7 linked regions of the Neurospora crassa OR74A genome follow. The protein of the gene in region 7 purifies or fractionates together with the protein of the main gene of each other region. This does not show direct contact. Links are inferred from orthologs where the notes say so. Each region holds a gene or a part of one and is shown on either strand. Other genes may lie near its edges.

What was found.
Region 1: the proteins of NCU09349 (region 7) and NCU03794 purify together in Saccharomyces cerevisiae (affinity purification with mass spectrometry; 5 studies listed by BioGRID, with this or other methods). This does not show direct contact. The link is inferred for Neurospora crassa OR74A from reciprocal best matches to the Saccharomyces cerevisiae genes HAS1 and PWP2.
Region 2: the proteins of NCU09349 (region 7) and NCU08595 purify together in Saccharomyces cerevisiae (affinity purification with mass spectrometry; 11 studies listed by BioGRID, with this or other methods). This does not show direct contact. The link is inferred for Neurospora crassa OR74A from reciprocal best matches to the Saccharomyces cerevisiae genes HAS1 and RPF2.
Region 3: the proteins of NCU09349 (region 7) and NCU07795 purify together in Saccharomyces cerevisiae (affinity purification with mass spectrometry; 4 studies listed by BioGRID). This does not show direct contact. The link is inferred for Neurospora crassa OR74A from reciprocal best matches to the Saccharomyces cerevisiae genes HAS1 and RRP15.
Region 4: the proteins of NCU09349 (region 7) and NCU03669 purify together in Saccharomyces cerevisiae (affinity purification with mass spectrometry; 3 studies listed by BioGRID). This does not show direct contact. The link is inferred for Neurospora crassa OR74A from reciprocal best matches to the Saccharomyces cerevisiae genes HAS1 and SPB1.
Region 5: the proteins of NCU09349 (region 7) and NCU05235 purify together in Saccharomyces cerevisiae (affinity purification with mass spectrometry; 3 studies listed by BioGRID). This does not show direct contact. The link is inferred for Neurospora crassa OR74A from reciprocal best matches to the Saccharomyces cerevisiae genes HAS1 and RLP24.
Region 6: the proteins of NCU09349 (region 7) and NCU01203 purify together in Saccharomyces cerevisiae (affinity purification with mass spectrometry; 3 studies listed by BioGRID). This does not show direct contact. The link is inferred for Neurospora crassa OR74A from reciprocal best matches to the Saccharomyces cerevisiae genes HAS1 and RRP17.

The regions. Positions count from the first base shown.
Region 1 is NC_026505.1:2,437,194-2,441,291, reverse strand, and holds the start of NCU03794 (periodic tryptophan protein 2), read left to right. Parts: upstream 1-1,298; 5' UTR 1,299-1,472; coding exon 1,473-1,603; intron 1,604-1,670; coding exon 1,671-4,098. Other genes in the region: NCU03795 (cell division control protein 12), read right to left, coding at 1-58, 130-234. UniProt on the Saccharomyces cerevisiae protein: Required for bud-site selection and cell separation. Also involved in nucleolar processing of pre-18S ribosomal RNA.
Region 2 is NC_026501.1:9,517,966-9,521,365, reverse strand, and holds NCU08595 (ribosome biogenesis protein), read left to right. Parts: upstream 1-1,203; 5' UTR 1,204-1,305; coding exon 1,306-1,319; intron 1,320-1,385; coding exon 1,386-1,494; intron 1,495-1,564; coding exon 1,565-1,887; intron 1,888-1,957; coding exon 1,958-2,537; 3' UTR 2,538-2,900; downstream 2,901-3,400. UniProt on the Saccharomyces cerevisiae protein: Required for biogenesis of the 60S ribosomal subunit.
Region 3 is NC_026505.1:268,756-271,873, forward strand, and holds NCU07795 (DUF1665 domain-containing protein), read left to right. Parts: upstream 1-1,245; 5' UTR 1,246-1,414; coding exon 1,415-2,440; 3' UTR 2,441-2,618; downstream 2,619-3,118. Other genes in the region: NCU07794 (2Fe-2S iron-sulfur cluster binding domain-containing protein), read right to left, coding at 2,880-3,118. UniProt on the Saccharomyces cerevisiae protein: Constituent of pre-60S ribosomal particles. Required for large subunit rRNA maturation, in particular processing of the 27S pre-rRNA at the A3 and B1 sites to yield 5.8S and 25S rRNA.
Region 4 is NC_026505.1:2,021,302-2,025,484, forward strand, and holds the start of NCU03669 (AdoMet-dependent rRNA methyltransferase spb1), read left to right. Parts: upstream 1-1,383; 5' UTR 1,384-1,526; coding exon 1,527-1,694; intron 1,695-1,761; coding exon 1,762-3,538; intron 3,539-3,605; coding exon 3,606-4,076; intron 4,077-4,155; coding exon 4,156-4,183. Other genes in the region: NCU03668 (WD domain-containing protein), read right to left, coding at 1-333. UniProt on the Saccharomyces cerevisiae protein: Required for proper assembly of pre-ribosomal particles during the biogenesis of the 60S ribosomal subunit. Specifically methylates the guanosine in position 2922 of the 25S rRNA at the stage of 27S pre-rRNA maturation.
Region 5 is NC_026504.1:5,664,041-5,667,573, forward strand, and holds NCU05235 (ribosome biogenesis protein RLP24), read left to right. Parts: upstream 1-1,414; 5' UTR 1,415-1,564; coding exon 1,565-1,640; intron 1,641-1,724; coding exon 1,725-2,329; 3' UTR 2,330-3,033; downstream 3,034-3,533. UniProt on the Saccharomyces cerevisiae protein: Involved in the biogenesis of the 60S ribosomal subunit. Ensures the docking of NOG1 to pre-60S ribosomal particles. Activates and recruits ATPase AFG2 to cytoplasmic pre-60S ribosomal particles.
Region 6 is NC_026505.1:3,223,999-3,226,960, forward strand, and holds NCU01203 (hypothetical protein), read left to right. Parts: upstream 1-1,374; 5' UTR 1,375-1,494; coding exon 1,495-1,725; intron 1,726-1,796; coding exon 1,797-2,261; 3' UTR 2,262-2,462; downstream 2,463-2,962. Other genes in the region: NCU01202 (hypothetical protein), read right to left, coding at 1-83, 145-363, 428-801, 953-1,044; tpm (tropomyosin), read right to left, coding at 2,568-2,730, 2,857-2,962. UniProt on the Saccharomyces cerevisiae protein: Essential protein involved in ribosomal RNA processing.
Region 7 is NC_026502.1:4,196,553-4,200,608, reverse strand, and holds NCU09349 (ATP-dependent RNA helicase has-1), read right to left. Parts: upstream 2,726-4,056; 5' UTR 2,583-2,725; coding exon 966-2,582; intron 897-965; coding exon 777-896; 3' UTR 501-776; downstream 1-500. UniProt on the Saccharomyces cerevisiae protein: ATP-dependent RNA helicase involved in 40S ribosomal subunit biogenesis. Required for the processing and cleavage of 35S pre-rRNA at sites A0, A1, and A2, leading to mature 18S rRNA.

The sequences.
Region 1 (4,098 bases), on a different chromosome or scaffold from region 7:
TCGTGGAGAACAGCGTGTTGATGAAGGTGGTCTTGCCGAGGCCGGACTCGCCAGCAACCTATCCACCCACGCCGTCAGCATTGGTTTTACAAGCGCGAGGTTCGGCAAGCTTTGGACAGTGAAGCGCACCATAATAGTAAAAGCAGCGCCTCTCTTAGCAACAATCTTGTGTCGCTGGTTGGGCAGATTGGCAATGCCAATCGGTGAGGCGCTCTCGGTAGTGGCAGGGGCCATCTTCAGCTGGGCGAAACACGAAACTGGGAGATAATTATGGGTAGAGGATTAAGTCACGATCCCGTTGCTGTAACGGCGAGAAGAAGCACCGGCAATTGGAGAAAAAGAGCGTCAGGCGGGATGCGTGGTGTACGGGTATGGTGGTGGTCGTGAATGGGAATCGAAATTAGGTTGGTGTTGACAGTGGACGGGTGGGAGCGAGAGGCAGACGGGGGATGGAACTGCAGTGGTGAGTGGACGGGGGACCCGTCGTGGAGCTCTGTGCTTTCGTTCAGGGGAATTTACTTGTTCAAATTTCCACACCACATTCATCTGGCCCAACCCAGCACCACACACCCACGCAGGAGAGAGCACCAGCGACGGGGACGGGAGCGCCAGGCCAAACCTAGCCCACACTGACTGAACCCCAAGCACTCCAGGCACTGCAGGGCCGCGGCAGCAGACGGACGGAGCAAGCAGCGAGCAAGCAGCATTCGATTCCATCCTCCAGATGAGGTGCCTGGGCGGGGCCACGGCAGCCGTCTGTGATGATGCCGAGAAGGCGCACGGTACACGATCCATATAATCCAATGGCACCTTTCGAGCCCGGCATTCTGCAGTAGTGTAGAGCTGCCACCACACAAGGCCGCTCTTGACTGGCTGCGCGGCAGGGAAATGAGTGGACCCTCCCCTTTTCCACTTGCTTCCCACACTTCCCCAATTCCAGGTCCCCAGAGACGGACCTACGCTGGCAGCTCTCCACTGAAACGCGCTTGCCAGGTACCCTCGCCGAGCATTTAATCGATGCGTGCCTTCCCTGCTAGCGCCATTGGCGGTGATCAGCCATTCATTGCCATGGAAACTTGGTCGACCCTTTGACCCTTTGATTGCCAGCTCTGCCAGCCTTGCACTGTGCTTGGTGACCGTGCTTGGTGGTGCCGTGCAGTGGTTGGTCTCGCTGCGGTCGGTGAGGCTGCCAGATACGCCAAGTCTTTTGCCAGCTGGTGCCAAAGCGAGGAGCTAACCCGACTCCATTCCCCGCCAAAAAGTTTATGAAATTTTTGGCTGGCAGAATCGCCATTGAACGTACGGGCGGTCTAGGCGCAACAGCAGCAGCCTGTAACTGAACTTCTGTTCCACTTACCTATACAGACTCGAAAGAGTCCTCCAGTTCCTGTACATAATCGAATCCCCAGATACTATCCCAGTTCTGCTCCATCTCCAACGTTGACAGTCGAGGCATGGAATAGTGTTTGAAAATGAAGACCGACTTCAAGTTTTCTAATCTACTGGGCACAGTCTACTGCCAGGGCAACCTCTTGTTCAGCCCGGACGGTACCCATCTCTTCTCGCCCGTTGGCAACAGGGTGACAGTCTTTAACCTTGTCGAGTACGTCTCAAGATTCCCTACACACCTGCCTGGCGCATGGCTTGTAAGCTGGCTAACACGGTCGCAGTAACAAATCATATACCCTTCCCTTCTCCCACCGAAAGAACATTGCGCGTATCGGTCTCACGCCCCAGGGCAACCTCCTACTCTCCATAGACGAAGATGGCCAAGCTATTCTCACCAACGTGCCCCGGCGCGTAGTACTATATCACTTCTCCTTCAAGGCTCCAGTAACGGCTCTCTCCTTTTCGCCATCGGGGCGCCACTTCATTGTTGGACTCGGCAGGAAAATCGAGGTTTGGCACGTTCCCTCAACACCCGACGCCAACGCCGACGGCGAGCTCGAGTTTGCGCCCTTCGTCAAGCACCATACCCACGTCCAACACTTCGACGATGTCCGTCACATCGAGTGGTCCCACGACTCGCGATTCTTCCTCACATCTTCCAAGGATCTCACAGCAAGGATATGGAGTGTTGATCAAGAGGAGGGGTTCACACCTACAGTTCTGTCCGGTCACAGGCAGGGTGTCGTGGGCGCGTGGTTTTCCAAGGATCAAGAGACGATTTACACAGTCAGCAAGGACGGCGCCGTATTCGACTGGCAATACGTTGCGAAGCCTGGACAGGACGAGGATATGGTGGACGACGATGACCTGGCCTGGAGGATAGTCAACAAGCACTATTTCATGCAGAACAGCGCCACCGTACGATGCGCCGCTTTCCATCCCGAATCGAACTTGCTGGTTGCCGGTTTCTCGAACGGTATCTTTGGCCTCTACGAAATGCCCGACTTCAACATGATCCACACTCTCAGCATCTCCCAGAACGAAATTGACTTTGTGACGATCAACAAGAGCGGCGAGTGGCTGGCGTTTGGCGCATCCAAGCTTGGTCAGCTTTTGGTGTGGGAGTGGCAGTCCGAGTCTTACATTCTCAAGCAGCAGGGCCATTTCGACTCGATGAACTCCCTCGTTTACTCTCCGGACGGTCAGCGGATTGTCACAGTCGCCGATGATGGAAAGATTAAGGTGTGGGATACGGAATCGGGATTCTGCATTGTTACCTTCACAGAGCACACGAGCGGCATCACTGCTTGCGAGTTCTCCAAGAAGGGCAATGTCCTGTTTACCTCGAGTTTGGACGGTTCCATCAGGGCTTGGGACTTGATCAGATACAGAAACTTCAGGACCTTTACAGCACCAGAAAGGCTATCTTTCTCTTGCATGGCAGTTGATCCTAGTGGCGAAATCGTGGCGGCTGGCTCCGTTGACTCTTTCGACATTCATATTTGGTCTGTCCAGACTGGCCAGCTCCTAGATCGTCTTTCGGGACACGAGGGCCCTGTGTCATCCTTGGCCTTTGCGCCTAACGGCGGTCTTCTTGTGAGTGGTAGTTGGGACCGCACTGCCCGTATCTGGTCCATCTTCAACCGCACACAAACAAGCGAGCCTCTCCAGCTCAACTCGGATGTTCTCGACATTGCCTTTAGGCCAGATTCTCTCCAGATTGCCATCTCCACTCTCGACGGCAACCTGTCGTTCTGGTCGGTCTCGGAAGCTGAGCAGCAAGCTGGTCTTGATGGACGCAGGGATGTCTCCGGCGGTCGGAAGATCGGTGATCGCAGGACTGCGGCCAATGTTGCCGGTACCAAGGCTTTCAACACCATCAGATACAGCACAGACGGATCGTGCCTTTTGGCCGGCGGAAACAGCAAGTATATTTGCTTGTACTCCGTCACCACCATGGTTCTCCTGAAGAAGTACACCGTGAGCGTCAATCTTTCAATTCAAGGCACTCAAGAGTTCCTCAACAGCAAGCTTCTCACCGAGGCTGGACCCCAGGGTCTCCTGGACGAGCAAGGCGAGGCCTCCGATTTCGAGGACAGGATAGACAGGTCACTCCCAGGCTCCAAGCGCGGCGACCCCTCCGCACGGAGGAAGAATCCCGAAGTGAGAGTAAACGGCGTTGCCTTCTCCCCGAACGGAAGTGCTTTCTGCGCCGCCTCCACAGAAGGTCTTTTGATCTACAGCCTGGACACCACCATCCAGTTCGATCCCTTTGACCTCAACATGGAGATCACCCCCACCTCTACCCTGGCCGTGCTCGAGAAGGAGAAGGACTACCTCAAGGCTCTCGTCATGGCTTTCCGCTTGAACGAGGCCGGTCTGATCCAGCGTGTCTTCCAGGCCATCCCTTACACCGACATCCCTCTGGTGGTCGAGCAGTTTCCCAACGTGTACGTTGCCAGGCTGCTGCGGTACGTTGCCGCGCAGACCGAGCAGAGCCCTCACGTTGAGTTCTGTCTTCTTTGGATCAAGGCTCTGGTCGACAAGCACGGCGCGTGGTTGTCTGCCAACCGCGGCAAGGTCGATGTTGAGCTTCGTGTTGTCGCAAGGGCTGTTTCCAAGATGAGGGATGAGATCAGGAAGTTGGCCGATGAAAACGTCTACATGGTTGACTACCTCCTCGGTCAGGCGAGCGCTGCTAAGGAGACT
Region 2 (3,400 bases), on a different chromosome or scaffold from region 7:
TGGCCCGAGCGCCTGCACGGAACAACCCGCATCCAAACCTCCTTCTCTCACCACACCCTCACGGGAACATGCTTCCAACGAGTTCACGAGTCACGACAGTTTACTTGCATCCCAGGCTTCTCAGTCGCGGGAAACTGCATAGAACTTTTCGAAAATGCATTCCTAATGCCCGAGTCTCCGAACACTCCACATGTACATACATACATACAGCTGCGGACAGTTTAAGTTTCAGTTTCAGTGGCATGGGCTGGGCTTGACGAGAATGCAATCGCCCTTTTTCAAAACCGTTGAAAAGTAGGTAGGTAGCTTCCCGATGGCATACATACCTAGTGACGGCGGAGGCGGAGGCGGTGAAAGGAGGAGTGCCGAGGATCCATGGAACAACGGTAAAAGAAGCCACCACGTGAATGGGATGCGTTCCGGAGGTTGTACGATACATGCAAAGTATGGATGGGATGGGTATGGGCTGTTTGGACGTGATGGGGAAAGAGACCGGGGAGTCTCATCAGGTTGGATGGATATCCTACATTTATGGTCCAGTCAAGACGACCACGAGAGAGAGAGGGGACATGGCGAAATAGATCATTGTGAGAGGAGGGAAGCTATACTGAACTGCTTCATGGTGTTAGAGAACGACAGGCCAGGTAGGTCCGTAGTAGGTGGATGAGAGCATTCTTGATGCTCGCCGGGAGCAATGACTGGAGAAATCTGGTTTTATGTCAGAGTAGAACGGTTTTAAGGAATCTGTATTGTGAACCCGAAGTGTAGAAGAACACCATCCCAATATGTTGGCTTCGTGTATTCAGAATCTTCTCAAGTGTGCTGACCTTGTAAGAGTGATGCCAGAGTTTTGTGATGTTGCTGACTTGGCAATCATATTGCTCAATGCTTGTTTCCCAAAGAGCAAGTGATTATCGAGTGATCAGAACAAGAATATGGAACTCAAGGTTGACTCCATCACCAACCTAATTGTGATGAGACGGCAGAAATGGAAATGATTTTGGTTGCCGTTGCAGTGACGTTGAGGCGTGAAATGGAATGGAACCTAACAGCCCGTGAACCCCTGAACGACAGGCAGGGGAAAGCCAGCGCCCAGTGGACGAGCGGACAATCTTGACCCCACCTGCCCCACAAAATTTCGAGTTCAAGGTCTCCTCTTATCGATAAGCGCCGTTCTGGAATTTCTTTGCTCGACCATCACGACGACGATTTGCAGGTGAAGGAGACAGTCCCCAGTCCACATCACCACCTTGCGGTACCTATCCAATCCACCCACTACCGTCATCGCATAACCAGACCGCCAAAATGCTCCGCCAAGTGTACGTCAATCGATCATGACAATGGAACATACCGAACATTAGCTGACAGTTCTCTTCTCCGCACAGCAAGCCGCGGACAGCCCGTTCCAAGAGGGCGCTCGAGAAGCGTGCCCCCAAGGTCAATGAGAACCCCAAGACCGCCCTCTTCCTTCGCGGCACCACCTGCAGCCAAGTCGTATGTCACCTCCTCCATATCCTCTCCTCCTATATATGATGGTATCATCAAAATCTAATACAGTCCGCAGACCCAAGATGCCATGCAAGATCTCTACTCGCTGCGCCAAACCCACGCCAAGCGCTTCCACAAGAAGAACCCCGTCCACCCCTTCGAGGACGCCAGCTCCCTGACCTTCTTCTCTGAGAAGAACGACACCTCGCTCATCCTCTTCGGCTCCAGCAGCAAGAAGAGGCCCCACACCATCACCTTCTGCCGCACCTTCGACTACAAGATGCTCGACATGCTCGAGTTCTACCTCGACCCCGAGACCTTCCGCAGCATTGCCCAGTTCAAGACCAAGAAGGTGCCCGTAGGCACCAAGCCTTTGATGGTGTTCGCCGGTACTGCTTTGTATGTCCCCCGATTCTTGTGACAAAGAGGAAGGAGTAGTGAATGAACGTCAGCTAACCGAGTACCACAGCGAATCCCCCGTCCCCAACGCCTTCACCACCGCCAAATCCATGCTCATCGACTTCTTCCGCGGCGAGCCCTCAGACAAGATCGACGTTGAGGGTCTGCAGTACTGCGTTGTCGTTTCCGCCGACGAGCCCACTTCCTCCTCCACCGATCCCTCGGACCCCTCGACAAAACCCACCCTCCACCTGCGCGCCTACCTGATCCGCACCAAGCGTTCCGGCCAGAAGCTCCCCCGAGTCGAAGTCGAGGAGCACGGCCCCCGCATGGACTTCCGCCTCGGTCGCCTCCAGCAGCCCGACGCGGACATGCTCAAGGCTGCGATGCGCAAGCCCAAGACCAACGAGGAGCGCACCAAGAAGAACATCAGCATGGACAGCATCGGTGACAAGATTGGTAGGATCCATATGGGCAAGCTGGATCTCAGCGAGTTGCAGACGAGAAAGATGAAGGGTCTCAAGAGGAGCAGGGATGTGGTGGATGAGGACTTTGATGATGCGGATATGCCGATGGAGGGCGTCAAGGAGGTCAGTGACAGGATCGTGGGGCCGAGGAAGAAGAAGGCGAGGGATGTCGTTGAGTTTTGAGTTGAGCAAGAGTAGGGAGACGGGAGAATGAGGGGTTGAGGGGATGAAGAAGAAGGCAGGCAGGGAGGAGGTTTAATCTTTTTTCTCTCACAATTGTTGCGATCATCCACCAAGACACAAGGCGTTTTTGGGAGTTTTTAGTTTTATTACTTTACTTTATCTTATATCATTGGCTGCTGCTGCTCTTGGGGAAGATGAACATTCATGCCAGATCAGATCATCAACAGAAAAGAAGAGATGACCAAAGCTGGAGTTATTGATGGATGATGGGTTGTTCGTGAAGTTGCCTTGCCAAAGCTTGTAGACCTAGACATCTATCTAGCATATACGTGATATTTATACCAACCAACATATGGGACCATAGGATCAACCGATCGACCGGCCGAATTTGCCGCTACAGCTTTGTTTGGAAGAATCTAGTATTGTCAGCACTCGCTGCCTACTATCACATGGCACTCATGCTATTTCCCTCTTCTACCTGGATACCTTGCTACCTTGCTACCTTGCTACCTTGCTACCTTGCAACTATCTATAATCATAGAAAAAAGACAATGCCATAATCATGTACAACCATAGGAAAACCTATGAACTATTCCCTGTTTCGATCTTTGGTTTGGAAACGTCTATAAGGGGTGTCGGTGAGGCAGTCTGCAGACTGATTTAGTACAAAATTATGAAACCAAATATCCATGCCGAGAACGATTGATTAGTGTATATGTTGACTGACTACAAGGTTATGAATGAAATGCCTGTACCAGAAATTGTGTTTGTTAGAGCAGAGTTGTATCAATCAATGATGGCTTCCTTATGCTTGTCTATAAAGAGACTAAAGCCAGTCCCACCAAAGAGTTAAGACTCGAGAT
Region 3 (3,118 bases), on a different chromosome or scaffold from region 7:
TGCATTGACTTAGCTCAGGTATGAAGATTGATCTTCACGATACTTCCGTATCGGACTTGCTTCTCGGATATCATGACGAACCCGTAACCGTGTGCTGATATCCCACCTTTTCACTTGGCGTTGTTCCATCTCTGGAAATGAACAAGTTCATGACGTGCTTTGCTTCTACAGCTCACATCGAACTGCTTCTGCTCCATGGCAATGGTGTTTTATGAGACCGTGACCCAATCACTTACACGCAAAGTTGGGAGAAGCGACCTAGCGACAGGAAGGTGCGAAGCTCAAAGTTCAGGACCTGAGGGCACCGATCCAATACTCTTCCTCCAATCGCTCACCCACGTGTCACTACCTACTAGTAAATGGCGCGAGATGGCAGGCAGTAGCAGCTTGGATGCTCCACGGATTTCTAATACATCGAACCTGGTCACTCCGTCAGGAAAACCTGGCTCGGGAAAGTAGGGAGGTACATGTACTGTAACTGCAGAAGCGTGCCTCTTGGATGGCAGAAGCTGTGTTCTGTAGAGGAAGGTATGTACAGCAAGATAAGAGGTATCGTGCATGGAGCCGTAGCGATCGATGTAATGCGAACCAATTCAACGGTGGCAGTCGGATTCATCTAGGTTCCGCTTGCGTATGTCCAACGTGAATTAACCTGTAAAACCCGGAATTGACGTGCATTACTTACCTAATCGAGCTCAGGTATATCGTCATGCATCGTTCGACTGTAAATGATGTTCAAAAGTTTCAACATTCAATTGGTCGCCGAAGTGCAACATGCTCAGACAAAGGTCTGTACATTATGCCGACCGCTGTTCATCGAGGTGCTCAGGTTCGGTCCAGGGGCAGATCAACTTTGTTAGGTCTCGTCGCTGCCGCCCGTTTGTGAGTAACGTGTCCTGAGACCATATGCTTGAGATCGTATCGATCCAAAGCGCGAAATGTGAAACACGTAGACAATTTCATACTGTTCGATAATGTCAATGTCGAGTTGTCATGGGAAGAGGTTGTCGTCGAATTGAGCCGTTGAAGTCACGGCTTACTAGGGTTAGGGGTGATTCTGATGACGGCAGAGCGGGTCCACCGTTCATCCCCGCTGGGCTGCCCTTGGTTCCACCAAGTGTGGGGTTGACGCAAGACAGGGACAGGGACGCAGGGCATATTGCCGGCCGCGACCGCCAAAAATTTCTGAGTGGAGAGCACCTCAGCAATTGGGAAGTTTCGAATGGAGGGACCTGCACTCCGAACCTCGACCATCTCGGCAGCACCTCCAATCCGCGATAAACAATTCTGCCCGTATTTCTCCCCCTCGGCTTGATCAGCTGGCAAATCGATCCCAAACACAACCACTATTCCATCTGCTTAATTCACATACAACCTACATCCAATCAAACCAGACACACACACAATCACAACCATGGGCATCACCAAGCGCAAAGAAGGCCCCAGCAGCAAGGGCAAGCCCGTCCGACCGTCCAAGAAGCAGAAGGCGCAAGCATTGGCCGCCTACCACAGCAGTTCAGAGGAGGAATCCGACAACGAGCAGCAAGATGTTGAAGACCAAAGCGACGAGGAGGCCGGCACCTCCGCCGTTCCCGCCCACCTCCTCGACTCGGACGACGAAGACCTAGACAACCTCGTTGCCGACGATGGCGCATCCACAGACGAAGAGCAAGCATCCGACTCTGATGATTCCGAAGCCGAACAACCATCAAACAAGTCCTCCAAGAAGTCGCAAACAAAACCCAAATTCGTCGCCAAAGACGCCCCAGATTCCGAAGACGACGAGGACGACTCCCTAGACGGCGGTTCCGACCTGGGCTCCGACCTCGACGATGAATTCGACCTCGACGGCTCGGGTGATGAGAACGGCAACAGGAGACAAACCAAATCCAAGCGCAACGATCCCGACGCCTTCGCCACCTCCATCACCAAAATGCTTTCCTCCAAGCTGCCCGCCTCGCGACGCGCCGACCCCATTGTCGCGCGCTCCGCCGAGTCTGCAGCCGCCGCCAAGTCCCTGGTCGACGCAGCGCTCGAAGCCAAGGCGCGCAAGCGTTTGCGCGAGCAGAAGCGTCTGGCCTTTGAGAAGGGTCGGGTGCGTGATGTGTTGGTCCCTAGCAAGACTAGGACGCTCAACATCCAGACGGGCGAGATCGAGGAGATTCCGGATGGAAAGGAGGGCGAGCAGACGACGGGTCAGATTCTGGAGACGGAGAGGAGGCTGAAGAAGACGGCGCAGAGGGGTGTGGTGAAGCTGTTTAATGCGGTTAGGGCGGCGCAGGTCAAGGCGCAAGAGGCGGAACGGGCGGCGAGGCAGGAGGGAATCGTGGGTGTGAAGAGGAGGGAAGAGAAGGTTACGGAGATGTCGAGGAAAGGGTTCTTGGACTTGATTGCGAGCGGTGGTGGGGGGTTGAAGAAGGGTGGCTTGGAGGAGGCTTAAGGGAATTGCATTCTGGTGTAGAGGGGTGATTGTTTATTGTGTTTGCATATTGTCAAGGTCTAGGCTATTTTCTTATATACAACCCCGTGCCCTTGATCTGGGGCAAACAGTTGAACAACGTACAAGCCCCATGCAGAAGTATGAACAGTCAACATGCTCTTGCCAATCCGTCATATCCATCAACATGAACATTGCCCATCACAGATATCCGATAAACTCTGCGCTGAACGCCGTCGCCTCAACAATCCGACAGAAATGGAATAGATGTCGTGTTTGTGCCATATATATTCCGTCGTCCGTCTCCATTTTTCTTTACACCACAGTGAATCCCCTGCCCCTTCACCTCTACCTTCTTCTTCTTCTTCCTCCATGCTCAACCCTTCATCGCCTGATATTACCTCCCCCCAATCCCATGTCATTCATTCCATGACGGCACGGTCTAGGACTTGAAATCACTAGCCTGCAAATTCCTCGTCATGCTCGGCAACTTGACCACCAACCCATCCAACTCCTTGGTCATGTGCACCTGGCACCCCAGCCGGCTCGTCTCGGTGAGTCCAAACGCCAAGTCCAACATGTCGTTCTCGTCGTCGTCGGGCTCCGGCATCCGGTCGTACATGTCCTGGTCCTGCACAATGACGTGGCAGGTCGAGCACGCGCAGGAACCGCCGCAGGCGC
Region 4 (4,183 bases), on a different chromosome or scaffold from region 7:
TCTCTGGCCATCCTGAAGGCTCGGTAACACATCTGGGATTTCCTCTTCCGAGATGGGCCTGAGAGGACTGGATGGAGTATGAGATCGTTCTATGAGAGGACCGGCTAGATCACGAAGAGCTCTTTGGGAAGCGCTGGGGTGGTTATTCGCTATGACTCGGGGAGTAAAGAAGCGCCTGAATTTCCGGGGGGTGATGGACGGGTTTCGACGTTCCTTGGCTGCGCTTCGCGGAGGAGGAGAGGACGGAATGGGGGGAATGTTGTTGCTGGTGTTCAACGACGACGAGCTCTTAACTCCCAAAGGGGTTGAAGTGCTGTTGGAGTTATCGGCCATGGCGAAAGGATTCTCTTCGACTACCAGAGCGAAGAGCTGGGTCCAGGCCGCTTATGCAACACGATACCTAGAGACGATGTACACGGGGCCGGCGACGCTGGATGCGCGCGACCTGGCAGCGAGGGGCCGCCGATGGCAAGGGTACGCGGAGACAGAGAACAGGCTGTGGTGATGGATATTTGTACAGAATCAGTTGAGCAACAGCTGGCGCAGAGGTATTGCTGGCAAGTGTCGACTGGATATTGGACAAGGGCTGACGTCGAAGTTGCAGGCTAGGCTGTGTGCAGCAAGCAGGCTGAGCTTGAAGAAGGACGGGAGGTCGAGGTCGTCGTTGAGAGACAAGGTAGGCGGCCGGGGGGGGCGTAAGGTATTGGCGCCGAGTTTATTGGTTGGCGGATTTGGTCGTAGTAGTATGGGTCCTCTGAGTGAAGTGGTGCGGCCGGAAGGGGTATGTCTATGTCGGTTTCTGGTGTAAGTGTGTCCTTGGTAGTATGGACTTGAAATTGAATGCGTAGGTGGAGATGTGATGGAATTGGATTTGGTTGTTCGTTTCTGTTGTGGATTTCCCTTGCGTGGTTCAGTTCCTAGAAGTACCTACGCTTTTGCTGAGTTCCCACTTGAGTACCTAGGTTTGCCGGGCAACCAAATCGACAGCCATGGAAACCTGACCTGACCTGGCCTGACCACCCATGGACTCCATTGAACACCTCCTCCAGTGGGCAGAGGCTGGGCGTGCGGTCCGTAGCGGCCGGGGGTCGGGGGGGAGGCGCCTAGAAGGAATGCGGTTTAGTGCTCCATCAGGGGAACGCGAAGACGCGGGAACAAATGACGCGCTGCATCGCGAAAGCTTAATGGCTTTTTCGTCCCATAAATCGCGGTTGCTGAAGACATGAAGATTGGTCAATGCACTGCACTTCAACCGCGGGATGTCTGGCCCACCCTGATGGGGCCCGTCTTGCTCGTTGCCCCACCAGCCGCCGGAGTCCAGTCTCTTATCGCTTATCGCCCTGCAGCTGTCATCCAAAAAAATCATTCTGCAACGACGACCCTGCAATCCCTGCGCTGCGAGTGCTGGAGGGAAGAACAGTCAAAGGGCACCCGGACTGCCATTTTCACCAACCCAAAAAAGTCACCAGGTCGTCCTGCTCAACAACACCAGTCGGAAACACCCCCCGACTTAGAGCACCGGCACCATGGCGATCCAAAAGAAACACGGCAAGGGCCGTCTTGACAAGTGGTACAAGCTTGCCAAGGAGAAGGGTTATCGTGCCCGTGCCGCCTTCAAGCTGATCCAGCTCAACAAGAAGTATGGATTCCTCGAGAAAAGCAAGGTCGCTCTCGATCTTTGCGCTGCGCCCGGTGTAAGTCATAGTCGTGAACATCCAGTTTATCATGGAGTGAACTAACCATGTCTGTGTCCGTCCCTAGTCGTGGTGTCAAGTCTGCGCCGAGACTATGCCGACAAACTCCATCATCATCGGTGTCGATCTTGCTCCCATCAAGCCCATCCCCAAGGTCATTACCTTCCAGAGCGATATCACCACCGAAAAGTGTCGCGCAACCATCCGCTCCCATCTCAAGACATGGAAGGCCGACGTCGTTCTTCACGATGGTGCGCCCAACGTCGGTACTGCTTGGGTCCAGGATTCGTACAACCAGGCCGAACTTGCCCTGCACTCGCTAAAGCTGGCCACCGAGTTCCTTATTGAGGGCGGTACGTTCGTCACCAAGGTGTTCAGATCCAAGGACTACAACTCCCTTCTCTGGGTTTGCAACCAGCTTTTCGCCAAGGTCGAGGCTACGAAGCCCCCTTCGTCCCGTAACGTCTCCGCCGAAATCTTCGTCGTCTGCCGCGGCTTCAAGGCCCCCAAGCGCATTGACCCCAAGCTTCTCGACCCCCGCTCCGTTTTCGAGGATGTGGCCGGCCCCGCCCCCAACAACGAAGCCAAGGTGTACAACCCCGAAGTCAAGAAGAGAAAGAGAGAGGGTTATGAGGAGGGAGACTACACCCAGTTCAAGGAGATCTCTGCCAGCGAGTTCATCAACACTGTCGATCCCATCGCCATTCTCGGCCAGTACAACAAACTCAGCTTTGAGCAACCCAAGAACGGCGATGTAGCATTGGCTGCCCTCGACAAGCTCCCCGAAACGACCGAAGAAATCCGTCTCTGCTGCGCCGATCTCAAAGTGCTCGGCAGGAAAGAGTTCAAGCTTCTCTTAAAATGGCGTCTAAAAGTACGGGAGATCTTCGGCTTCCCCTCCAAGAAGACCCAGAAGGCAGCTGTGGACGAGGAGGTTGCGGTAGTGGAGAACATGGATGAGGAGCTTAGGATCCAGGAGGAGCTGCAAAGGATCAAGGAGAAGGAGACCTCCAAGAAGAAGCGCGAGAGGAGGCGCGAGAATGAGAAGAAGCAAAAGGAGATTGTCCGCATGCAGATGAACATGACTGCGCCCATGGATATTGGTGTGGAGCAGGAAGGTCCCCGTGGTGAGGGTGCCATGTTCCGTCTCAAGACTATCGACCAGAACGCTGCCCTGAATAAGATCGCCAAGGGCAAGATGGCCGTTATCAAAGAGACCGAGAAACCGAAGGATTACGACTTTGGCTCCGACGGCGAAACCGACGAGAGCGACGAGGAGGCCGATCGTCTGGAGGAAGAGCTCGACAACCTGTACGATCAGTACCGGGAGCGGAAGGCGGCGGCCGATGCCAAGTACCGTGCCAAGAAGGCCAGGAAAGAGAACGGCGACGATGAATGGGAAGGCGTATCTGGCGATGAGGAGAAGGGTAGCGACGACGATGACGATGAGGAACTAGAAGTGGACAGCAGTGATGATGATTCCGACTCAGAGGATGGTGAATCTGGCAAGAAACTTATAACAGATCTAGACGGCCAGCCAGAAGAGAAGGATGGTCTGTCCAAGCGGGCCAAGAACTTCTTCAGTCAAGGTATCTTTGCGGAGATACCAGGACTTTTGGAGGAGCCAGAATCTGAGGAGGAGGAGGCTCAGGAGGCTGAGCTTGTTGAGGCTGTGGAGGACCTCAAGGTTACCAAGAAGGAGAAGAAGGAAGCCAAGGAAACCAAGGCCAAGAGCAAGAAGGCGGCCGAGGAGAGCGATGACGACGACGATTTCGAGGTTGTCAAGAACAACGAGGATGACGACTGGGAGAACGTTGAGAAGAAGAAGAAGAACGGCAGGCCTGGTAAGTTTCACTCAGTCCCTCTTCAGTATGACCTGTTAAGGGCAATGGCTGACTATGACAACTACAGACATCGACATCATCACCGCCGAGGCCATGACCCTCGCCCACCAGCTCGCGACCGGCGAGAAGACAAGTTACGACGTCATCGACGACGGTTACACCAAGCACGCCTTCAAGGACCGCGACGGTCTTCCCGACTGGTTCCTTGACGACGAGTCCAAGCACGACAAGCCGCACAAGCCCATCACCAAGGCCGCAGCGCAGGCCATTAAGGAGAAGCTCCGGGCCTACAACGCCCGTCCTATCAAGAAGGTGGCCGAGGCCAAGGCCAGGAAGAAGTTCAAGCAGGCCCAGAGGCTGGAGAAGCTCAAGAAGAAGGCCGATATGCTTGCCGGTGACGATGGCATGTCAGAAAAGGAAAAGGCTGCTAGCATTTCGAAGCTCATGGCGTCGGTTGCTAAGAAGACGAGGAGGGCGCCTATCAAGGTTGTCAAGGCTGCTGGTTCCAACAAGGGTCTCCAGGGCAGACCTAAAGGAGGTTCGTACTATCACTACCTTAAGATCTGGTGTGTTCTTTATGTTGGAATGATGCTAACTCGGTTTTTTCAATTTTATAGTCAAGGGCAGGTACAAGATGGTGGATCC
Region 5 (3,533 bases), on a different chromosome or scaffold from region 7:
TACTATGTCCAACGGCTTCTCGAGACCTGGAACCGTCTGGCTGAGGCATGGTGTAACCCAGGATTGAGCGGGGTAGGAGTGGCAGGCAATATCCAAAATCCAATCATCTCGAGTGGCTGGACGTCACTTTTGTATCACAGCGGCCCGTCTGTGAGTTCCGTCGTCTGATTCTGTGATGTCTAATGGCACCACGGAGCGAGGAGTGGTCCGGTGCGCGTGTGCTGTGGCTGGGGGAGGAAGCAGTAGGTGTTGGGTTTGTAATTTTGATCCTTTGTACATTTCAGTAGATACCAAGTTTGAGAAGGAAGATTACGGTGAACCGCATGGGATAATTACCGACAAGAAACTGGAAAGAGATAGCGACATCTTGACTTTCCTATACTTAGTGTACGGTTTGTATCAGGAAAGAACGATCTCGGGACCCTTACTGTCGCAGGGCAGGAGCTAGTCTGGTGGAGCCTCAGGGGAACCCGACTCCACTTTTGACGCTTTCCCCGGATTCCGTCCCCGCATCTTTGAGTTAGCGCTGTGGATCTGATGGGGCTCTCGGTCAGCACCCGACCCTCAACTCCGCTGTGAGTGAGATGAAAGGAGCACTGTGATTGGGGAAGGAGTGAGGAAAGTCCATTGCACTTCAAGTTCAATCTGAGAGACGGAGATGCGTTATATCAACCAAGTGTCAAGGAAGACCTCTTTTTGTGTAAAGCCTAAGTAGTCACCTTCAACAGACACTGGCCTACTGCCGACGGAGTTTCCATCACAGAAGGTCTTGATCATTGTGAGAAATGACAGACAATTCAAGATCCGATTTCGCCACAGTCTCCGAGAAGAACTTGACGCCTTCAGTTGTAACTCGAATAGATTCTTCAGACATGGTAAAAATTGCAGTCACGAACACCGATGATACCCGGTGTTGAACATTGTAGAGGGTGTCAGACTTTAATCGTTAGCAGTAACTGATGGGAAAGAAAGAGAGTGGAGCTAGCAATGTTAGGGTCCGCGAGAGTCCTGTTAACAGAAACCAATGCCATCTTGGTGACTGAACATTGTCGCGAAGCGAAAAGATCGTGAGCTCAAGAAGTATTGTTGGATGGATCGGGGAATATACTGATTTGGGAAAAGTAAACATGCCCGTCGACTTGAGCATCATGGCCATCGCTTGTCGAGAGAGCATCGAAAGTAAGCAGCCGCAATTGCCGGCCAACTTACATCGAGGAATCGATCATCGGGAACCATCATTGTCAAATCAAGAGAAAAGAACCGTCTGGGCTGGCGTATATGCACGCTCAACCCTAACCCGAGTCTTGTCGGCTGATAGCACGATAGCGCTAAGATAAGCCAAGCGTCCCCTCCGCCCCACTTTACTTTTCCAACACCGACATCCAGAAATTTTCAGAAGCGGCGCCCTTGACCGTTTCGCTGTTGTTGACTTTGTTGCTTGCTTCCCCCTCTCCTCCCCCCCCTCCCGAACAGACAACGAGCCCATCCTCACCCGGCTCGCTGCTTCTCTCCTCAACCACCACCACCACCACCACCACCACAACCACCCACATAACCCGTCAAGATGCGTGTCGATCCCTGTTTCTTTTGCGGCCGTCCGGCCTGGCCCTCCAAGGGCATTACCTTTATGCGTAACGATGGTATGTTTTTGTCATACTTCAGTTCCCCATCATCAACCTCTCCGTCAAGGCCAATTGCTAACCAGGGTACAACTAATGTTACAGGCAAGTCCTTCCGCTTCTGCCGCTCCAAATGCCACAAGAACTTCAAGATGAAGCGCAACCCCCGCAAGCTCAAGTGGACCAAGGCCTACCGCAAGAACGCCGGCAAGGAGATGGTGGTCGACAGCACCCTGCAGTTCGCCGCCCGCCGCAACGTGCCCGTCCGCTACGACCGCGAGCTCTTCGCCAAGACGGTCAAGGCCATGGAGCGTATCTCGGAGATCCGCCAGCGCCGCGAGCGCATCTTCTACAAGCGCCGCATGGCCGGCAAGCGCGCCCGCGAGGTCGCCGCCGCCCGCAAGCTCGTCGCCGAGAACGAGCACCTCCTCCCCCGCCTGCGCGGTTCCGAGAAGAGGAGGCTGGCCGAGCTCGCCCAGGAGACGGGCCAGGACGTCGAGGAGCTCGAGCGCGAGGAGCTGGCCAAGAAGGCTGCCAGCAAGAAGACCAAGGCGTTTGGCGGCGAGGTCAAGAGGCTCCGTGTCAGGACAGACGGCGGCGTGGAAGAGATCTCGGAGCGCGTCGCTGGTGGAGGCTTGGTCGATGAGGATGACGATGACGAGAACGATTTCGAGGACGTGGACGATGACGACGAGATGGATACCGACTGAGCGCCCGAGTCTCTGTAACTATTACTACCGCGACCACCACCACCGCCAACCACCACCACCACCATCACCAACACCGAAACCAGCCACCTCTTTTCTCGGGATCATTCGTTGTTTGCTTGTTTTCTTCGGACGAACTCGCTCCCGCGGCTGTCGATATCCCTATGCGGGGGAGGGTTCTGCTGTATTTTTTCGGCGGCCTTTCCTCGCCACTGAGACCTGCCTAGTTGACACCAGCAACAAAGCCCAACTACGACGAACGGGTCTTGGTGTATAAAGACGGAACGACCAGAAAGAGGACAGGACAGACAGCAATTGGTTGACCAACAGCCAATACTCTAACTGTAAAAACAGTAACTGTGGCTTTGGACAGACAGACAATCCTCCCCCCCGAGCGATGGCTGCTTTCGGGGCTTGCTTATACCCCTTGCTTGGTTGGTTGGTCGTTGGTCGCTACAGGTCATTGGAAAGATTCATTATATTCAGAACCATGGTTTTCAAGGGGGGGATCAATCAGTCTACCTTTAGTAGCAAAGCATATTTTCGGTTTTATTGGAATCGGCGAATTTGGCGTTTAATAGACACGGGGAGACCCACAATATGAAGTACTTGTTTGTTTTTTTCTTTCTGCCATGTCTTGTCTTGTTTTATAGTAGTAATCCTCAGTACTTTCTGACTCGACAAGTTACTCGTTTCTGTCTTCTGCCAACGTGACTGACCTCTGTAGCTCGAGACCTGACTAGGTATCCTAGCCAAGGATATATCCAAGGTCAATCTTGGACTACTACCCGTTCGTTGATTCCATCTTGCACTCAGTCGACAACACAACAACTCTAAACAACACCTAAAAGACACAGTTGGTTCAAGTCGGTAACTAAATACAAAGTATTATATCTTTTATCATTTGTATTATTATAAGCGTTAAGACCCGACAAAACCAAACCAACCCCTTCCTTCGCATGCTAATGCTCCGATCGCCTTGCTTTAGCCAGCCAGCCAAACCGTAAGCACAAAGCACAGCCAAGTTTCTCATTATAGTTTGCTTCCCCATTTGTCAGGTTGTCTAGCCCACCCACCTCTATTTCCCTCCCCCCACCCCCCATCATCATCATCATCAAGTTCCATCTCATTCTCTCATCATATATTTACCCCATTATATCGTTAACCTCGTTAACATCGTCAACATGATCATCATCCCCATTGCTGT
Region 6 (2,962 bases), on a different chromosome or scaffold from region 7:
GACTTCGAGACTACCGAGAGCCTTCAGTCCGACGCCCAGGATGGAGAGCATGACAATGAGAGCGAGCAGGGCGACGAAAATGCCTGGTTCAGTGTCAGTCTACTGCCTTGAAAAAAGCGCCGACTTGAGATGATGATTACATACCAGGAGTGAAGAACTGATACTTCGCAAACAGCGGGCGGTTATCATAAGTGGTGTTGCCGTTGTCACTGCCCTCCTGAGAGCTAAACTGTCCGCGCTTGAGATCCATATGGACTGGTTCGATAAAGTCAGGCTGGTAAGCCTTGAACTCGTTAGGGTCTGATACCATGACAAGGGTATAGTCGCCCTCAAGGGTATCGAGCACCAGGCCCAACTGATCGTCTATAGTTGCACAGGTTAGTACGGGGCAATTCAATAGCCGACCCGTGATCCGAACTAGACATACCATTAGAAGCCAGGATTTGCGCCCTATTATCCTTGTGCTCCAAGGAAGGTAGATGCGTGAGGTCAACTTTGACGATACCGGCAACCTTCCCCTTGGCAGCGCAGGCTTCCTTCACATAATCCTCCAACGAATGGGTTGAGAGGTCGCCGACTACCTCCGCAACGCTGAAACGGCCCTTGATTTCCTTGCTTGCGATTGTGTCGCATAGACTGCGCATTTTACAGTGCGAGCCATCGCGGATGTCGGCGGCGTGCACGTTCGGCTGGGAGACGATAACGTAGTCTTTCGTAGGACAAGAGGAAAGGATCTCCTTGGCGGAAGCAATCACTTGATTGCTGGTTTGGAGCTGATCGTATCTTTCGGGTGTATTGAGCCTGGAAATCACGGTTTCGCAAGGGTCAGCATCTTCAGTCGAAGTCACATGCATGAAAGCGCAACTGAGTGGGATGTGGTGCACAAGATCGTGATGGCGCGAGGGCAACTTGAAGGGACACCACCCACGGCGACAATTGGGACATGACGTACCTGGAGGTGGAAAAGAGGACAAATGGTGAAGAGTCCGAGAAGGCATGCACTGCCGTAGAGGCGAGCAGAGTTGTTACTATCGAGAGTTTCATGATTTACAGATTATGCCAAACTGTCTGCGATATTGTCGTCGTCGTCGGTTGTTGTGTTGGATATGCGAATATGGTGTAGTGTACAAACTGGCAGCGTGGTGTAGCTCCAGGATCCAGAGCCCGGGAGCGTGGATGTCACTGCACTGAGAGAGCGCCAGACGTCTGATGCATGGGATTGGGTGCTGGGTGTGACCGGCAGGCTATGGACATCAGAGATAGGCGGTAGAATAGGGCAGAATACGATAAGGCCGCTTCCTGCATGGTGCCCCGTTCGAGTGAACATTTGAACAGGGGGGTGGCTATCAGTAAATTTACAGTTGAACCCAGAGCATCCAGATCGCTGCATCCAAACATCCTTCCCGCCCTTACCTCTACCTCGATTTCTTGTTCCCTTTTCTCCACAAAACCACCAAACGAACTTTCCACTCAAAGTCAACCCTCGAAGCCATTATGGAGAGGGATCCAGCGTTCTTTGTTGCCCCAAGGCCCAAAAAGAGTGGGCTCGCGCCGCCACCCAAGAAACGCAAGATAGTGCACAAGGTCGAGGAAATCACATTCGACAAGGACGCCCGCACCGAATATCTTACCGGTTTCCACAAGCGTAAACAGGCCCGAATCAAGGCTGCGAAGGCGCAAGCAGAGGAAGAGGCACGGCTGGAACGAATTAGGTTGAGAAAGCAGGTACGTACCGGATGACCGCTGTCTTTCTTGGTTGGTTCCATGGCAGTAAGTCTAATCTACGTCGGGTACAGATCAGAGAGGAGCGGCAGAAGAACCTCGAGGAACATATCCAAACAGTGCACAAGCTTCTCCACGAGGCAGAGCGTGCCGGTACCGACGACAAACCCACCGAGAACAAGTCAGACGACGAATGGGATGGGCTATCCGAAGACGATGTGGCGGAAGAGCCTGCGCTTGATGTCGAGGAGGAGTACATCGATGAAGACCGCTATACGACCGTGACAGTAGAAGCCGTCAGCGTAGACAGGGACGGCATCCACAAACCACGGACCTTGAAGGACGAAGAAGATTCCGAGACGGAGAAGAACAACAAGAAGAAGAAGGCGGCTGAAGAGGCGGCGCAGCAGGAAGCCGACAAGAAATCAAAACGAAACTTCCCAGAGAAAAAGAAGAAGAGAAAATTCACATACGAAAGCCGACATGACCGAAACGTCACAGAGAGGAAACAGAGGGCAAAGAAAGCGAAGCGGTCGTGATAGGTTAGATGGCGAAGGAAATAATCTACCGCTATTCCTGACAGCGGTATCCCTTACGATATCTAGATCTTGTTTAAGTACTGTATGTGCAATGCTGGGATGATGGATTATGCTTTGAACTAGTAGGCAATATGAGTTGTACGCGGGAGTTAGATAACGGCTTGCTTTGTCCGTCTTATCTCCCTACTCGACAACCCGAGGACAAACGGCATAAAGGGTCAGGCTGATATTATCGATGCGGTGACGCTGTGAACAAACGTAAAGAAAGGAATTTCCACCATGTTCCGACTGCATCCGTTAACCAACTTAGATGTTGGCAATATCAGCCTGGAACTCTTCCAAGCTCTTCTGTACCTCGGCGTACTTCTTGGCCATCTCTTCGTACTTGGACTCCCACTGGTCGCGCTCGTTCTCGAGGGCCTGAACCTTGCGCTCGAAGTGGCCGGCCTTGACGTCGGTCTGGCGAAGCCTGTTGAAGGAGGAAAACATCATGTTAGTCTAAGGTGTCGCAAAGAAAAGGGGTTCAAGGGCACAGGGGTTAGGACCCTCCCCCATCTCATCGTCCAGGGGTGCGTGTATTTCGATGCAAACGTACTTCTCGTTGGTCTCGCGGAGAGTCTTGTCAGCCTCCTCGGCCTCCTCTTCAAGAAGTTGAAGTCTCCGTGTCAGCGTCTCGTTCTGAGTGCCTTGTTGCGCGCCAT
Region 7 (4,056 bases):
GAAGTGATGGGAAGGGAAAGGAGAGGATATTGGGAAAGGGGAAGGGGAGGATATTGGGGACGAGGTGAAATTTGGTAAAGTTGTTAGGTTGGTTTGTGTCGGGGAGTTTCCGTCTGTTATGTAGTTCAGGTTCGGGGGGTCGATTGGGGCTGCAGATAGAATAGGTATCGATGTAGGTCGTTCTGAAATAGTAGACTGTCATCAGTGGGTTGTTTCATGCTTTGTTGTTGGAGGTTAGTGTTGAGTTGGTACCGGTTGTCAGCTACCTAATTTGGGTATTGATTATGAATCCCTACAAAGGATCCTTGATAGAGAGTGACACTCAGGACCTCCATGCTTTCCATCAGCCATATCAACATCACGATCTTTCCAATTGCGTAGCAAAATAGATATGATGTGGTTTGTTCAAGGTCTTTCTTACCATTTATCAAATGAAACTGTCAGCATGATAATATGTTCCATCCTCACATGGAAAGACACCCGAGATGACCGAACGGCACAGCATCAGAAATACCACACCAACGGAGCAGCAACGTAAAGTAAAAATTAATTGTTGATTTGAAGCCCTCCAGTTTTACTTTTCAACCAAAAACGCCTTGGCAGCTTGCGCAAACAACAACAAGTAAACAGCAAAGTAGCAACACAAAAGAAAACACCCACTATGCTCCACACCGAATGCCCGATGGATATCTAAGAGAGAACATTGACAAATCATCATCCCCTTTTCGTATTCTAACCAACAACAACAACAACACGAACACCGAATCCCGCCTCGCTTAGTGACGGTTCTGCTTCGGCTGGCTACCATACGCTCTCCTGCTCGTCTGCTTCTTGTCACGCGACATGCTGGAGGCCAGGGTGATGTCTACCCTGGGAGGGGTGGAGAAGCCGAAGGACTGTTTTTGTAGTACGTTAGTGACTGTTCTGGTGTTGGGGAAGAAAAAGGGAGAGAAGAGAAAACATACCTTGGCCACCTTAACCAAGTCAAGCTTATGGATATCAAACACCGACCGCAAACTGTGCGAAGCATAGGCGTGGAGATACGACCTGTAACCGTCCTTGGCGCTCTGGTTAAGGTAGTAGTTCTGGCCGATCAGCTTCTCCAGCTGGGACTGAACGTTGAGGATCTTGCTCTTGGGGAAGTCGTATTCCACAACGGGGACCTTGGCGGCCTTGAGATGGGCGAGGAAACCCAACTCGTTGGGCTGGAGGAAGAGCAGCGAACGGCCCTTGGTGTTGTTACCACGGGCGGTACGACCGACGCGGTGAATGTAGTCGCGCGGGTCATCAGGAGGATCGAACTGGACGATCCAATCAACGGCGGGGATGTCGAGACCACGGGCGGCAACGTCCGTGCAGATGAGGGTGCCCTGCTTGGCGTTGCAGAATTCGAAAAAGGTGTTTGTGCGCTTCTGCTGCTTCTGCTTGCCGTGGAGATCGAGAACCTGAAGATCGATGTACTGGAGAAGTTCGGAGTAGTACTTGACCGAGTTGCAGGACGAGAAGAAGACAATGACCTTCTTCTTCTGCATCTTCTTGAGGAAAGAGAAGAGGAGCAGGAAGCGCTTGTCGGCGTCGACGACAACGTAGCCTTGGTCCAGACCCTCGACCGTGCTGAACTGCTTCTCCTCATCGACGTTGACGTAAAGAGGACCGGGACGGAGCGAGATACGGGCGAGATCCTCAACCTTGGTGGTTTGTGTGGCGGAGAAGAGCATGGTCTGACGGTCCTCCTTGGGCAGGATCTTGATGATCTGGCGCATTTCGTCCTCGAAACCAATCTCGAGAATACGGTCGGCCTCGTCGATGATGAGCGATCGCATGTTCTTGAACACAAAGGGAGTGTTTTGCAGGTGATCGAGCAGACGACCGGGAGTAGCAATGAGCAGGTTGACGCCCTTGCCCAGCTTCTCGGCCTCAGCACGACGGTTGGCACCGCCGATGACGACACCGTATGTTTGGGAGTGGTTCTTCATGAGCTCGCGGGCGACGCCGAAGATCTGGAGAGCCAATTCGCGGGTAGGAGTGACGACAATGGCACCGGTACCGTTTCTCGGCTTGAAGCGCAGGGAGCTGAGCATCTCGATAGCGGGAATGAGGAAGGCGAGGGTCTTGCCGGAACCGGTCTTGGCCGCACCGAGGACGTCCTTGCCGGCGAGCAGAGGCGGGATACCTCTCCTCTGGATCTCGGTCATCTTGGTGAAGCCCATTTCGGCAATGGCCTTCATGGTCTTGTCGGACAGGTTGAGCTCGGAGAAGTCGGTGGCATTGGTCGCGATGGACGGGGCGATGAGGGAGTCGTTGGTCTTTGTGAGTTCGTCGCCGGCCTCAGCGTCCTTGTCGTCGCTGTCCTCCTTGTCCCCGTTGCCGGTGGGGATGACCTCGTCGCCATCTTGTTGTTCCTCCGCCTTTTGGGCATCGTTCTCCTCCTCGGGGGTGGCGTCCTCGACGACCTCTTCGGCGGCCTTCTTCTCCTTCTTGTCCTTCTTCACCTTCTTGGTCTTCTTGTCGGTGGCGGCGCCATCTTCGGTCGCAATCTTGGCGTCCTTGAGCTTGCGCTTCTTGCTAAATTCGGAAGCCATCGTGATGGCGTGGGGGGGTTGGTACTGTCGGTGGGTGGTTGCGATACTCTGGGAAAAGGGCGTCGCAATGGTTCCGTTCAAATTCCCAGCGAGTCGAATCTGTTATCCTTCCTCTGCCTTCTCTTTCGCTGGGGATTTTTTTCTTATCGCTTGTTCGATAACCAGGGATTACACCAGGCGGTGAAAATTTTGCCAATTCTGCCCTCTTCTCCTGATGAAAACCTGGTCTGTGCGCTACAGCCGTCCCAGTGTTGACCCCACTTTTGACTGCAGATCAGCCGAACCCCGGAACCCGCCAATTGTGCCCCCAATTGCTTGCGAGAGTCGAGAACTGAACTTGTCCATTTCCTCTTATCTTCAAATCCGCATTATGTTGTTTTCTTCTCTGATATTCGTTTATTATCACAACGCTTTCACCTCTCCTGCAATTACTCCAGTCTGTCATAGACATGATATACTCAACGTAACCGCGTGTAGTCGGTCTTTCATGTTCGTTGTCCCTCTCACGGAATTAGGCTCTGGATGTCGTCCATGGTGGCATTGCTTTACACTGCGGATATTCAAACGCTGTACAGTACCTCTGAGATCCTGGCATTGCAGTATTCTTCTTATGTTACATTTCTATTCCAAAGGTTTAGTGGATTGAGACAGACCAGTCAATAGCCTGGTGGACTTTGCAGTTCCCGTCCAGCGGACGACTTCGAAGGCCTTGACACAAGTCCATAGTCAGGCTACGGGTTGCCTTGATCGATAATCGATAATTCGGGGCAGCTGGAAACTTACCCCGTCTGCGGGATACAGGGCGCAAGATTGGAACGTACCAGTCAGCTTCGAATCCAGGTCCCTGGGTTGGAAGTGTCACTCGCCGAGAGGCCCCTGGGTCGATACATAACAGTACACATGGCAGATCAATATCCTCGCATCATTACATTGGCTGAAGTGAAGTTTCATGAACCCCTTCGGAATCCTTCATATTCTCTCAAGGCTGACGGGATGCTATCTTGGTCACGTCGGAAGTAACAACACCTTTATTACATGAAAACATGATCATTTTCCATGGAGTTGACCGAGTCACAAGTGTGGTTCGGTCTTTGGCTCACTGCTGCCTTGGGTCGCATCTTTCCACGATCTGAGGCTGAGAATGGTTCCAATGGGAGGTATCAGCACGGAAGTTGATGTTCATGATATAATCTGGTCCCATGGCCCTATTCTTCAACACCACTCGCTCAACACCACGGACAGACATCACGGAAACAATCCAGAAGGCATCCCATAAAATAAAATCGGACAAGAACTTCTGGTTCTTGAATCGAAACCACGTTTATGTTAAATCTCGATACACTCTGTATCTCACTTCCCCGTCTTTCTGCTGCCAAGTGGTGCCCCAGGAGGCGTAGACACGGCTCAAGCCGATCGGGCTGGTAATTTGGCTTCGAATTGCCTAGCTCCCGCTTGCCCCTTGCGATTGACTTTG